2 linked regions of the Lytechinus pictus genome follow. Each later gene encodes a partner of the first gene's protein in a complex. Links are inferred from orthologs where the notes say so. Each region holds a gene or a part of one and is shown in the gene's direction. Other genes may lie near its edges.

Region 1 (7,414 bases):
CTTGAAGACGACAAGAACACACTCGTCGAAACGTCGAGTTTGAGTGGTCCTTTTCAGGACCAACACTTGCCCAAGAAAGATACATGGTGTACAATGAAACCTACTACACTATTCTTCTTTGCCACGGAAACCTTCAGAAGTTACTACAAGAACAAACTTCCCGAACAATCAAGTTTGGGTGGTCTTACAAAGAGTTGCGATTGATCCGATCAATCACAACTATGGACAGCCATGCAGCAACGTCAACATCTAAAATGCATGAATGTTCAAAATGTTTTCTAGATATGACGTAAGGTACATAAATTCATTGTTTTCTTGACAATTTGGTGTGTTTGCCTTTGTTTACAAGGGACATTTTGCAAATTTTTTGTAGGAAAAATTATGACACTGATGGATCTCCATAGAGTTACAATTGATTGGATCAATCGTAACTCTTTGTAAGACGGGGCCCAGGGCTCCGTTGGATAAAAGTTACTATTATGGTAACTTTGTCATCCAGTCAGTGGCAGACCGTGACCCAGAGGAAACAAAGCATTGGAGGGGCACAGCATTGTTCACAGACAATACAGTGCCTCTCCAATCATTGTCTCCTCCGGGTCACGGTCCGCCACTTCATCCAGTGGTAACTACTTGCACCATGGGAACGCCGATCAACAGCTAATTAGAATCAAGGATTCCATGCAAGTTACCATTGGATTGCAAAGGTACCATAATGGTAAATTTTACGCAATGGGGCCCAGGAAGCCTCTTCACTGAACAATGATGCACTAGTGAGCGATGATCAAAGTTCTAAAATCGATAAGAAGACTTATGAAATTGACCATAAGAAAAAAAAAGTTGGTACATTCTCCATAAAGGACTATCAATAATAACAAAATAATATTCATATAAAAAAGGTTTTACTTAGAATACAGCATTTGGTAAAGAGATATTCACAATATTATTCATCACAGTCAAATTAATTTCAGTCTTTGATTTATTTATTTGCTGATCATCAATGTAATTACCGGAAATTAACTTGAATTGTGAACTTCATTATGAAGGTAGTATTGACCTTTAGAAGCGAGGAAGAAAAAAATAGCTAACTTCTCTCACAAAATGATACAAAAAGATAGGTTCAATTGGATTATCATCTCATTCGGTGCATTATTACTTTCATGGTATCTACATGTAGTATTCACAAATTTCATACAATATTCAAGAGCAGAGTACAGAGTGACAATAATATTACTTCATCCATTGAATTGCTCACCGATTATTTGTTTTCCACCATGTAAATGCACTATGTCCCAGGTTCCTATTTGGTTTAACGCATGCCTGGCCGATTCCATAGCACTGTATGATAACTGACCTAAAACAAAGAGAAAGAGATAAATACTGTACTTATCCAGGATAACTTTAATCTAAAGTGACCTTACTGGACCCGTTGGTAAATAATTCTGGTCAAATCATTGTTTGAAATAAACAGAGCTAAGTTCAAGCGTTGTGGATTTGAGTAGTCTAAACACTATCTGGAAATAAAAATTATAGACTTCAACAAATTGTATACTATATTTGTATATCGATTGTAATTGTGTACCATACTCAATCAGACTCAGAAGCAAAGTCCAGATGGTCAATCTTTATTTCACTGCATCTCAAGAAGGGAAATTAACTTGACATAAAGAAAATTAAAGAAATCAGAACTTATTGGAATAGTTTGTATACATTTACATTGTGATCAAAGCCTATCTTTTTGGTAGTATAGATACATGTTTACATATTTGTCTCAAAATCTCCAAGCATACATGTACTGTCTACTCTCTAGGATAAAGATATAGAATGACCAACACCAGAATTTTTTTTTTTTTTTTTTTTTTTTTTTTTTTTGGGGGGGGGGGGGGGGTACAAAAGAGACTTGTATGCCCCCATTTTTAAATTTTGTGGATTTTGTTTTTGCTTTGAGGGAGGTACAAAAGAGGCATATGCCCCATTTCCCCCTTTTGAGGAGTTTTAAGTATTATTATTATTTTTTTGGGGGGGGAGAACAAAAGAGGCATATGCCATATTTTCACCCTTTTGAGGATTTTCATTTTTTTTTTTTTTTTTGGGGGGGGGTGTACAAAAGAGGCATATGCCCACAATTCCCCCATTTGAGGATTTTTTAATTCTTCATTTTTCTTCTCTTTTTTTTTTTGGGGGGGGGGTGCTTCTGATTGTGGTGACCTTTGACCACATTTCTCTTTTTTTTAATAAATTTATCATCAACGAGTTCTTGCCAAGGTAAATCCTGGGTCCAGCCCTAATCTATGACAACTTAGATGGAATTATATACCTGTGATAAAAGAAGGGACGATAGACCCGGCCACCTTGCCTGTGTAGCTCGACTTCAGTGAATCCAGGAACAACGGGTACCTATCGGGGGTCACGATCTCATTCTCTTTCCACAACGAATTATCCAACTCCGATTTGGGATTCATCAAAACTACCCTGGAGAAGAAGAATTTCTCTGCCAGACAGGCTTCATTCCTCAGCAGATTGTTCCTGATTAGCCGAGTCTTAGATTTGAGTTCTTGGAGGATATTAGTGTGTGATTCATCGTAGGTCACACTTGATCGAGTGTTAGAGTCTTTGACGTTTTTTTGTCGGACCCATGATTTGCCGTTTTTGCTCAGTGATATCTTCCCAGACCAGTTTTTGACCTCAATGCAGTAGATTCCATACTCTGTCAAAAAGAGAGAATACACGTGCCATGAATTTGAAAATATCTCTTTCATCTGCCGATGTAGTACTAAATCAAACAATTTCTTTTAAGAACTCAATTATTCATTCATTTCATTATATTTTCATTCATCTTCATGTCATCTTTTATTTTATATCATTTGTATTGTCACTTTTTATTGATCTTTTTCAAGTTAAATAAAAAAAAAATATTACTATCATTATCATGGTACATGTATTTGTTGTTTATTTCTTATTTACATGTATTTATTGTTATATAAAATGGACATGTTGACTTGCAGCCCAAACTGGGGGTCAATAACTTAAAATACAATATGATTACAAGGCAAGTTTTTGCAAAATAACATATAAGTACAGTATACAGAGTTGCATTAAGAAAGGAAATCTACTTGCAGGATTTTTATCATTATTATCTTAAATATATTTGTTCTTTTTTTTTTTTGGGGGGGGGATTCACCTTTAAAACATTGCAAGGAGCAATTCCTAAGAGATAATATCTGCACATAATCAGATAATGCTCATAATTTGTGGGGAAAAAAGAGTAGAAAACCTATGATTCGTGAAGATGGTTGATGTACACAAAAGTATGTTCTCTTGATTAAAACCCCGTTCAAACAATTTTGAAGTGATCGAAACAAGTACAGTACCAGTCACCGAATCACTATTACCTGTTTCAACCAGAGAACAATAGATTTGGTCCACTGATTCTATTGTTCTCTGGCTGAAAAAGGTAATAGTGAGTCAAAGAATTGTGACTGGTAGTACTATTGAAGGAATATTTTACCTGTCAAAATGACAACATCTATTTCATATCGTCTCGTCTGGAATGTATCGGGAACCCTAAGACCTTGGTAGATGCACGAGGACGGCACCCCAGCTCTATGGACAAGGTCTTTGATTAGACTTTCTTCTGCTTGTCTTCCGGCTTTCACCGTTTCATCCTCATGATGAGAGGCCGGATTACTGGCCTCCTTGGCTTGAACTAAACGGCTGGTGAGATTAAACATGACCTGCAAGAGCACGAAAGGAAGAAAACAAATAATTAAAGTTAAGCTTTTTTGAGATATTTCCTGTCAGTTTAGAAATTATATTTAGGCTACTCATTTTCTTAAACATGATGTGTATGTGAATTGCCCCTGTTATGTTTGTAACCGAGATGTAAACCCAATTTTAGATAATGAATGAAAAAACAAACCACCAACAAAATTTATCAATATCAATTATCATAAACAATTATTGCTCCAATCAACTAAACCTAGTAGATCTACTACTATTTTTGTTTCAAAATTAAAAATAGTATAAACTACTTATCAAAGGAAATTCCTAAACCCTGCCTTACATATTATAAATATAGTTAAACGGAAAAAAAGAGAGGTAAAAATCATGAAAATTCCTGACTTGTCAATCAATGTTTACGAAAATATGAAGACAGTAATCAGTATATAAAGTCAAACTAATTAAGCTAGTATAGATCCTTGTCTGTGTCCAACAATTGGCAGGTTTGTGGAGAATGATAAATTGGAAACACACAGTCTAAGTCTAAAAAAATTACAATGCAAAAGTACCCTAAAAGTAAAAAAACTTAGCCAACCGGGGAAAGCCCATGGCCTTGGCAAAGAGACATTGCGAAATGCATTGCAATCCTCATCTTCATCATCGACTCGTCTCACTCTCAGTTCGTAATTCGAGCAGGCAGGCCGCAGGCAGCTGCAGTTTGTTCATGATCATGATAATAAAATGATTATACTTACGACTTTTAAAACAGAAATTGAAAATATAGCTCTTATTCGTTTTAAATCATCCCGATCTATCGTATGGTAACGTTTGAAGAGTGCTGAAATGCCTTATTTCAAACCTGTTGGAACAAAGAAAGACAACGATCGCCATCGACCAGCTGCGTGATGTAAACAATGATGACGTAACCACAAGGAACAAAACATTATTCAATACTATTTATTAAATTTCAATAGCTTTTCTACTCTATGGAGTCGAATATCATTTTGATGTATATCAAAAATATATACAATACATTAAATTATTTATTTAATGATATGAGAGGTAACAATTGATTTCGAAATATTATTCAAAACTATTCTTAAACAACGACTTTTACCAAATTACATATTGGACGCGGGAAAATCCCGAATTCGCAGAGTTCGCTTGATTAACCTATGGCTATGCCGTGCGATTAACCCCAGTGCGCTCCCAATCCTCGGCTCTCCATCTGGCATCGATTTGACGAAGCGTAGCTGAGGTAGGTACGTTAATTTGAAGTTGCGAATATTCAGAAATAATACCATATTTTATGATACATGATAGCTCATTCGGCCTCGCGATCGAGATTTTTAGGAATGGATAATTTAGCTTGCCTTGCTTCATAAAAATGCAAACATGAATTTCAGTAAGTGGGACTGCAGCATGCAGTGACTCTAGTTTTATTAAAGAAAGACAAGACTTCTTCTTCTTCTTCAAGCTACACTGTCTCCTTCAATCCTGAAGATTCTTGCAGTATTGTAGTACCGGGGACCGGCAGGTGCAATACACCGGGTGAACACCCTCCTCTTTGACGAATAGTGTTTGACTCACTTTGAGTGCACGAGCATGACGAGTGCGACTGAACCGTTAGATCATCTAATAATCTACTTTTTTTTGTAATTTATGTTTATTGATCCTTTTCATCAAAATATACATAACAAAACATTCATGATATAATGGATCACATATAAAACTAAGTTCAGATAACCGCATATAAAATAACATGTCTAACTCTAACTTAAGTAGTATAAGATAAGAAAACATATGACTAGGCCTATGTTTGTTTACAACAAAAGAAATTCAGGCACTTGGCCTGGCCTATAAAAAAATAAACATAACAAAAACAGCCTTCTGCTTTAACGCCTCTTTAAAGTATTCAGAATGATAGCCCACTTGCCATCATGTTTTCCTAATTTTCATTTCCTTTGTGCTATGGTATGTTCAACAGTTTCAAATGATAAAAGAAAGTTACAAAAATGGTGGAGAGTAGGTTTTGTTTCGTCACATCGACATCTAAATACATTGTTTACCTGTCAGGAGCAGAATGTTCAATATAAATATATTTCTGGGACTTTGGGGCTTACAGATACCAAAAAGAACATATCTTTCTGAGAGGAAATCAGGAAGATCTAGTGAAGCAAAAAGTGTACCAGTTAACATTATTCCAAAATTGGTTAACGTCGTGGCAAGAATAATAAAGATGCATTAGAGTTTCTGGTGATACTTTACAAAATGTACAAAGTGTATCTGTTACCTTGTTAATACGGAATAACCAAACCTTAGTAGGAATCAAATTATTAAGAATCTTGAATTGTAAAGCTCGAAGTCTCGTATTTATAGTAGTACGTAGAGGTAGTTTTAAGAGTTCTCTTACTTCTTTCTTGTTGAAGCCCATAAGTGTCTTTTAAATATGTAAATATATTCGAAATTGATGGGTTATTTTCCTTCAAAAAAATGTGTAAAAAATATACTTTGGTACACCTGTTACTTCTCTAGTGATGCCATCAATAGTTAAAGTTGGAATCAATAAAATGTTGTCGACAATGGGATGAAAGCTTTGAGATAGAAAAAATACTTTCCATTTTGATGGCATAAACTTGTAACAAATGTTAAGCCTTTATTTTTAGCATCTTTCCATCTTAGTGGTCTGCCATACTCATCCAACATATGTAACACTTTAACAAAACCTTTGTTTTTTTATCTCTGGCTTATGAAAAGATTTTCCATTTTGTAATATGCATCTATTATTCCATATTATTTGGTCACATATTTTTATGTTTTTTGAAATACTGTGCTCCAACTAATCATGACATCTTTATACCATTCAGGAATTGTCAGTTTTAAAATATTAAGATCATAATTACAATTAAATATAAAGTCACCACCTACATTTTGAAGCAGTGTCAACAGGATAATCTTCCATCCCTTTGAATTGGATGTCAAAACTCTAGATCTACTACTAACTGTTGATAGATCTAACATTTTGGATCTTTATTCAATATTGGAATTGAATAAAGTTGAACTGAACTGAACTGAACATTTCTAACACATTATATCTATCAAGGCCAGGCCAGGAATTCCAGAACATGAAATTAAATTGAGACTGAGAGAATAAACGTTGGAGACTAACCGTGGCGTTGTTATTAGATGATAGATCCAATGGCAATGCCATGGGCTATGGCAATGGATGATAAATGTGTAAAAGTTTGAAAACTGGTGAATGAAATGAATTAAAGATGCAATGGTTTTTTCATGGTCATGATTTTGAAATTAATCATATGGTTGATGATGATGGTGGTGCGGTGGTAGTGGTGGTGGTGATCATGGTGGCGATGAAAAAAATTATTTTACAAAGAATTTGGATGAGAGATAGACCTGGAAACTCATCAAGATGATGATGGTGATGATGATGATATTGTTTTTGTGTATTCAGATCAACTTAATTAGCTATTGACATCACAAAGTTATGAAAGTAATATTAGTAAAGTACATTTGCCTTACGCTAAGAAAAATAACCAAGCAAATTATCTAAAACCTCCAAAATGAGTAACAAACAGATTTCAGCTGTCAAGATTTTGATCACTCCAAAAAAAAAAAAATCATGACTGATGACTCTTAATCTTTTGGGGAGATCAAGATACTATTTACACACATGAAT
Region 2 (7,363 bases), on another chromosome or scaffold:
CTCAGTGATATGCAAATGAGAGAGTCGATGATGTCCCTCACTCACAATTTTTTTGCTTTGTTTTTCATTCTTTGAATAATACAATATTTCCATTTTTATTACAGATTTGACAATAAGGACCAACTTGACTTAACTTAACTTGACCATAAACTGTTAAAAATAATGGTAATTTCACATGTTCAGAGAGGAATAAAATTTAGTTGCACATGACAATGCAATGTCATGAGGAGAAAACTAGAATTTTTCATATTTCTCAAGTATTATTCATAATAAAGTAGATTCTACAAAAGAAGTAGAGTGGATGACGTCATCAGTCTGCTCATTTGCATACCAACCTTAATGTGCATTACCGGTAGGGGAAGGCGGGGTAAGTTGTGACACTTTTTGCATTTTGCATGTTAGAATTGATATGACTAAGAATATTGTAGAAATAAGTACCTTGCCTTTAAATTTGATTCTTGGAAAATATTTTTCACCTATATATAACTTTCTACCCCCACACTGAAATTCATTGTGACCTTTGAAAAAAAAGATGTCAAATGGATCAACTTGCCCCATATGTGGGGTAAGTTGTGCCACCTTCTGGGGTAAGTTGAGCCACAAAAACTATGTACAAAATGTATGCGGGAAGAAGCAGCATGTCAATTTTTATTTCAAGTCTTTTCACTTGCTAATTCTCTATAAATACTAACAACCTCTAAAAGAAAATAACTGTCATGATAATTTACACCTTTCTGCCTGCATATCAATGGCTTTTCAAGGTTTTTTAATTTTTTTATTCTTATTACCATAAGAATTACCATGGCTCAACTTGCCCCATGTTGGCTGGCTCAAAGTACCCCAGTCCGAACTTAATGCGATATTTTCACATCCACACATTTCTTATGCATCCATCATTTAAAATACTACAGAATGAAGATTCATACTTGGACTAACAATATTGTTCTTATTTCTTTATTATATTCAAAGACGTGTGTGGGTAAAAAGCACTCCTCTATTTTACTCCCTTTTTTACTTTTTTGGCTGAAATTTGTATTTTTCCGTCTAAAAAAGTACTTTTTGTTTCAAAGTCAAAAACAATGTGGTTGGGTAAAGGGTTATGTAATGGGTCATCAATACATGCCATCACCACAATGTGTGACTCATTCATTATTGGCTTGGGGGTGGTGGCTCAACTTGCCCCTATGCTCAACTTACCCCACCTTTCCCTACTGTTTTGTCAAACTAAGTGAAATTTTAAAATGTCAGAACTTTCTTATTTTACATCTGATTTTGATGAAATTTTCAGTGTTATGCTTGTTGGATTTAGCTTGTTTTATTAAAATCAACTTTTTGTTGAGATGGACTTGTCCTTCAACAACCCAAAGCCAAAGGCAAAGCAATGCTAAGCAAATCAATATCAAAACGCCCTAGGCTAAAGTTATACCCATCTAGATCATCTGCGCACCCAACAATTTGAGTTTTTTATTTCACAAAATCTTTTACTTAATAATGGCATTTTAAAGTCTTTATGCTGACCTAGACTGTTTGAGCCTCTGTATAAAGGAGCCGTGGAAAAAAGTCACATTGTTTGAATCAACTTGGCTGCCAGAAAATCTGAAGATGTCGCTACATTTAACTACATTGTTCACTCAAAATGTAGGAAGAAATTTTGGGGCCAACTCACCTATTGACTTTTTATTGGATAAATTGGACACATGTATACAGCACAAATCTAGTGCCATTGCCTACCCTAATTATGTTTGAAATTTGAAAAATGTTTTTTTCTCAACTTTTCCCATAGAAAACACACGTTAGGTAATACAGTACCTTTTTTCAAGTGACCAAAACATATCACATGCGAAGAGGGGTCCGATTAGAAGCTGATAATCGTAAAAAAAGAAACACAATTTCAGCCATTCTTTTCAATTTGTAGGTACGATATTTGTGGTGAATGCGACGTTTAGTGAATTTTATGAGAATAATGACATTAATATGAATTCATGAAAAGTGATCAGAATATAATCCATTACCATACATGTACTTGAGTACAAGTATAGTCACGTATTGTATTACCGGACACTATTATGATTCCGGACGCACATATACTGCGTACAAAAACAATTTCTTACCGCAAGAATTTCGCAGTTCAATTTCACAGAACAATACAGAACAAGATTGCAAAACAAGCTAGTCGCAAAAAATCATACTTATACCTTATTTATTTTTTAAATGACAGAAAATGCTTAAAATATCACACAACATAGTTTTGCATAAACAATTGAAATATTTTCTGACGGAATTAAGGGCCTGATTTGATGATTTTCCTGTTGAAGAACGTGATGGTCCGTACTTTTGGAAATCTCTCTATAAATTACACAGTCATCAGCAAATAGCCTCATACTTGACCTTATCTGCTCTTGGATGTCATTTATGAATAATAGAAAGAGAGTCGGGTTGATCACAGAGCCTTGCGGCACTCCAGAAGTGACACTTTTCCATTGTGACTTGGTTCCATCAACTACCACAGCTTGTCTTCTGTTGGTAAGGAATGACATGATCCAATTGAGCGTATCACCTGTGATGCCATAATACAGGAGCTTTGAGTGTAACCGTTGGTGAGGTACTCTGTCGAAAGCCTTCTGGAAATCAAAAAAGACAGCATCAACTTGTCCTCGCTTCTGGATGACAGAGGTCCAGTCATCAATTGCTGACGTTAGTTTGGTGACCGTGGAGAGTCCTTGTCGGAATCCATGCTGTGCATCCGTCAGGATATTGTTAGATACAAGGTGCTTTGAGACATGACTAAGGACAACATGCTCCATGAGTTTACAGCTTACCGTATACATGTGAGTGAAATAGGACGATACTGTTCACTCTTGTCACCTGACTTGTGTACTGGGACAACAAGCGCTTGGCTCCAGCTTGTCAACACCAGAGTTGTAGCTCTGCTGGTACAAGAAAGAGAGGGCAGGAGATATTTCTTGGGATACAAGTTTCAGGAGTCTCGGTGGGATTTAATCTGGACCACATGCTTTAGATGGATTCAGCTGTCTCAACTGCTTTTTCCACACCAGTCCTAAGTATGGAGTTGTAGACCTGTGCCCTATTGGTGGGTATTGAGACTGAGAGTTATCTTTAGATGGCAATGTTTGACTACTTTCTAGAGTGAACGTTGACTGAAAGTGGTCATTAAGGGCCTCTGCCTTTTCTTTGGCTGTAGCACACGTCTTAGTACTTGTGCGTAGAGATGGTATTCCAAGGAATTCAGAGCGGCAGCTTTTGATGTATGACCAAAAGGTTTTGGGGTTTTTAACAAGACTGGTTCCAATTATGTTGTTCACGTAGTCAGGCCTGTGAACAAGCTTAGCCACATAATTCCTGAATCTTAAGTTCTGTAGGTTTCCAAAGCAGCAGTACTAAGCTGTCATCTTGCTCTTTTAAAAAGCCTGTCTCTTTTCCTCATTTTCCATTTAATATCAGTGGTGATCCATGGTAGATGTTACTTTCCTTTGCTCATCTTTGTTTGAGGGAATAATCTCTGACAAACATCTATTTAGGAATAGATGTAAGATGTAGAGAGAAAAAAAATCTTTCTTACATCATTATAATCAAGAATATCTTTATCCGTCCGGAATCATGATGTAATTTGCCATGCACGAAAATAATTGTTTTTTGTGGAGGGGTATGCGGCAAGTGTGATGCAAAGAAAATGGTTGGTAAATGTAAAATAATTTTATCGTGTTCATAATTTTCTTAATATTTGGAATAGCAAGTGCAAATTTTTCTTGATTGTATTTCCTCTAGGCTTAGTTGCAATTTAAAGCACTGAAGTGAGTGAAAGAAAGGTGTCTGGCAATAGGATACACTGCCATACAACCTGATACCGCCCAAACAAAATATCCAGCTTGCCAGGCATTTCGTCCAGGAGTAGACAGCTGGCAGCTGTGTCTGTTTCGAGGAGTTTTTAACCATTTAATTTTTTTTTAATTCTCCTCGTAGTCGTACACAGACGGCTCGCGATCATGCAGCCGCCATTAGGGGGTTAACAATGCAAAATCCCCCTGAAGGGGCTCATCGATTTTTGTCTTTTTTCATGAAAATATAAAAAGAACTGGACCAAAATTAGATTATTAACTTAGTCTTAGAGATGTATTCCGTTTTGGCCTGAAATGCACCAAAAGGTGAAAAGGCAAAACGGGTAAAGATAAACTAAAGAGGAAAAAAAACAGTGACTTAACGTTAATTACAATTTACAAGGTCTACTTTGGCTGTCGCGCAACAACCAAAAAATGTTCAGTGGAACAACCAAAATACAGAGACTAAAGCTTTTGGTCTAGACTAAACTAAGGCTAAGCTTATTCCAGGAGCTGCGAGGCGAAGGCTATCGCAGCCGGCCGCAGCTGAGCCGAGGTGAGGAGGAGAAGCGGCGGATAGGGCCCGGCTCCATCTACTCGCTACGGCTACGCCTACGCTGGCCGACCACGGCCACACCTACCACCTGCAAAAAAACAACAACAAAAATGGTATGGTAGTGGTAGTCTACAAGAAACTTATGGATTGCAAATAAAATAAGTCGTTTTATGCTCACCCTGATTACGTGCACAGTCCAAATTTACAAAAAAGCTGAACCAAGGCCGTTACCAAGAACGCTTTTGTTGGCGACAGCACTGCAATCGAAACCGGAACTTCGGAAGTTGAAGAGGGTCAGTCAAATGGCGCGCCACAGTTCAATTCAAGATCGAGTGTGTTACGTTCCTTCTCACGTCACTGGGCCAAAAATTTTATCCTGAATAAAAATGGACAGCGAGACAAGCATGTATCTCGAAAATTTAGAGGAGTATATCCTCGACGAAGACAGAATTGTGAGTATGATCTGTACCGTAAAAGTCCCGTAGATCCTAAGTTGTAGTTATACATTAAAATATTGAAGAAAAAAAAAAAAAAGCCCTGTGCCTGTGGCTGTGCTGTGCAGTGCCAAAAATATGATTACATCGCCGTGCCGAATGAAATGCCATACGGTATGTGCATGCGATTCTTAACCACACATATCCAAGTCCAACATTGGGTGATTTCAAGTAGGCCTACGGTGTTGAAATCTGGTGTTGGTGTTGTGACAACACCAACACCAGCCACAACACCGTACTTGAAATCAGGCTGGTGTTGGGATTGACCTCAGAAAATATGACGTATTTCCGGCAGTTCGTGTTAAATGCTGGTGTTGAATGTCGTCTGCTGAACACAGCACTGCGGCTGGTGTTGACGATCTACGTGCAATTTCCCCATTCACCAACACCAACCCCCAGGGATTGGGCAAATCATGATTTCAAGTTCGGTGTTGGTGTTGGTATTGGCAATCTCAAGCTCGTGAACAGGCGGCGAACACGATGAAACATCCTCGTAAAATTAGCTTTTACAGCTTAAGATGAGTACAAATCATTTGAGCTGTATATATTTTGATGAAGAATAATGTTCACTCTTTCGAATTCTTGAATTAATTAAATTTGAATACCAATGTTTTAATTTAAAACATTGGTATTCTGTATGATGAGAATTTAATGCATTTCTCTCCGATTTCATTTTCGTCGTCGAGACTTGTCGCGTGAAGTTGAGATGATTTAGCAGCGCAGCGCAGAGGCGTGACGTCATGTGCTATCGATAACGCAATCGGTATCATTCCTCTGAACCCAGCTCGGTGTTGGAGCTCGGTTCAGCTGCCTTTTTACACTCTCAACACCAACACCGAACTTGAAATCACCCATGTTTTCACAATTCTGTGATGTAGTAATTCGACTTGCACAGGAGCGAAATCCGCGTGGAGACCTATACCAGCACTTCTTAAACTCTGCCTTTCCTTTTAGCTTTACCTTTGTTGGCTTTGCCAATTTAACTGAAATGGTGCGAGCTCAAGCCGGGTAGCCAGGAAGGGGGGGGGGGGAGGTGCAGTGTCAGTGGGGCTGGGGCCAGTTTCTCCCCAAAAAACAAGTCCCCAAAACTCAAAAAGGCCAAAAAGAATAATAAGATTATATCATAAAGAAATAAAAGCAAATAAATGAGTTTTACATGTATGTAAGTGTAATAGTGATTGAAAGAATTTTTAGTATCTTAAAAGTAGACTTGGGATATAACTGTCAGATCTATGCTATGATGATTTTTCTACACATTTAACCAACCATATCATTTTCACACTCTCAATTCCAGGTGACTTACAAGTGGCTCAGTCAGACACTAGAAATTCATGTGAATTTAGCAAAGAGGTAAATACAAGGAGATAATAAATAATTGTAATTCCCTAGATGTGTAAAATTTGTAAATTCATTTTGCTCAATTTAGTAGAGTGATGATTTACTAAACTGCATTACAATGTAATACAGAAGGTTTGATGCTTTATGTGGCAAAGCTACTTACCTGACACAGCATTTCAAAGAAATGAAAATGAAGATAACAGCAATGATGGATGGGGACTTAATATTCATTGCTTTACCCCCAAATCATCACTCAATCATTGTAATTTTCATCACATCCAATTCCTCATCATCATGGTATAATTATTAGCAGTATCATATTCATTGATCATGATCACCATCACAATTATCATCACCGTCTTCATCACTATCAACATCACAATCACCATCATCACAACCATCATCATCACCATCATCATGATCACCATGATCACCATCATCACCACCATCATCACCATCATCATCACCATCATCATCACCATCATCATCAAGAATAGATGATACCATCTTCCTTTCTCTTTTTCATTTCCTAATAGTTGTCTGTCATTACTTTATAAATTCCATTTTGGTAATCCTTTTTTCCTCTTTTTTGATTAATGCTGCAAGTAATTTCTGTTATGTTTTCTTCAATCTTTAAGATTACTGGAGACATTCTTTATTGACCAGAAGAAGAAAGGATCTTCCACATTACGAGTAACCTATGTAGTCACAGGAACGCAAGAAACAAAAAATGGAACCCAGGTAACGAAATCGAACATTCAAGTGTAATTTCATCATTACCAACTTTGAGTTGTGGTCTTGTGGATCAGGTTGGAAGATACATTGTCAGTCCCAGTAGTGGATGCAAAGGTAGAAAGAAAATTGGCTCTGAAAGTGTTAGAACTTAGGGTGTGTTTATTATTCTTTTTCAAACTCTTTATAAAAAATGTCATAACACTCCAATGGAAGACTCCTGTTTTTACGAAGCTGTACTGCACATGTTACATTGACCCATATCATGATAGGAATAAAAATAAATTTATAGTTTATAATTGTCTAGTACTTTTTAAAAAGGCAATCTATATGTGTTTATGGATGTAGATTAATGCAGTATTTGAATAATCATCATCTCGCATGTTTTTTGTTTCATGTTTAAATTC

Evidence for each region. The genes of interacting proteins can lie anywhere in the genome.
Region 2: DNA polymerase delta subunit 2-like (region 1) and DNA polymerase delta subunit 3-like share a complex: the UniProt entries of both Homo sapiens proteins name them as parts of the both the DNA polymerase delta and DNA polymerase zeta complex. The link is inferred for Lytechinus pictus from reciprocal best matches to the Homo sapiens genes POLD2 and POLD3.

Annotation. Positions count from the first base shown.
Region 1 is NC_087254.1:6,787,828-6,795,241, forward strand, and holds the start of DNA polymerase delta subunit 2-like, read left to right. Parts: upstream 1-4,389; 5' UTR 4,390-4,975; exon of another isoform or gene 4,976-4,979; intron 4,980-7,414. Other genes in the region: uncharacterized protein LOC129269026, read right to left, coding at 1,253-1,351, 2,315-2,704, 3,506-3,731, 4,313-4,357. UniProt on the Homo sapiens protein: Accessory component of both the DNA polymerase delta complex and the DNA polymerase zeta complex.
Region 2 is NC_087260.1:25,102,398-25,109,760, reverse strand, and holds the start of DNA polymerase delta subunit 3-like, read left to right. Parts: upstream 1-4,353; 5' UTR 4,354-4,778; coding exon 4,779-4,844; intron 4,845-6,180; coding exon 6,181-6,236; intron 6,237-6,862; coding exon 6,863-6,965; intron 6,966-7,363. UniProt on the Homo sapiens protein: Accessory component of both the DNA polymerase delta complex and the DNA polymerase zeta complex.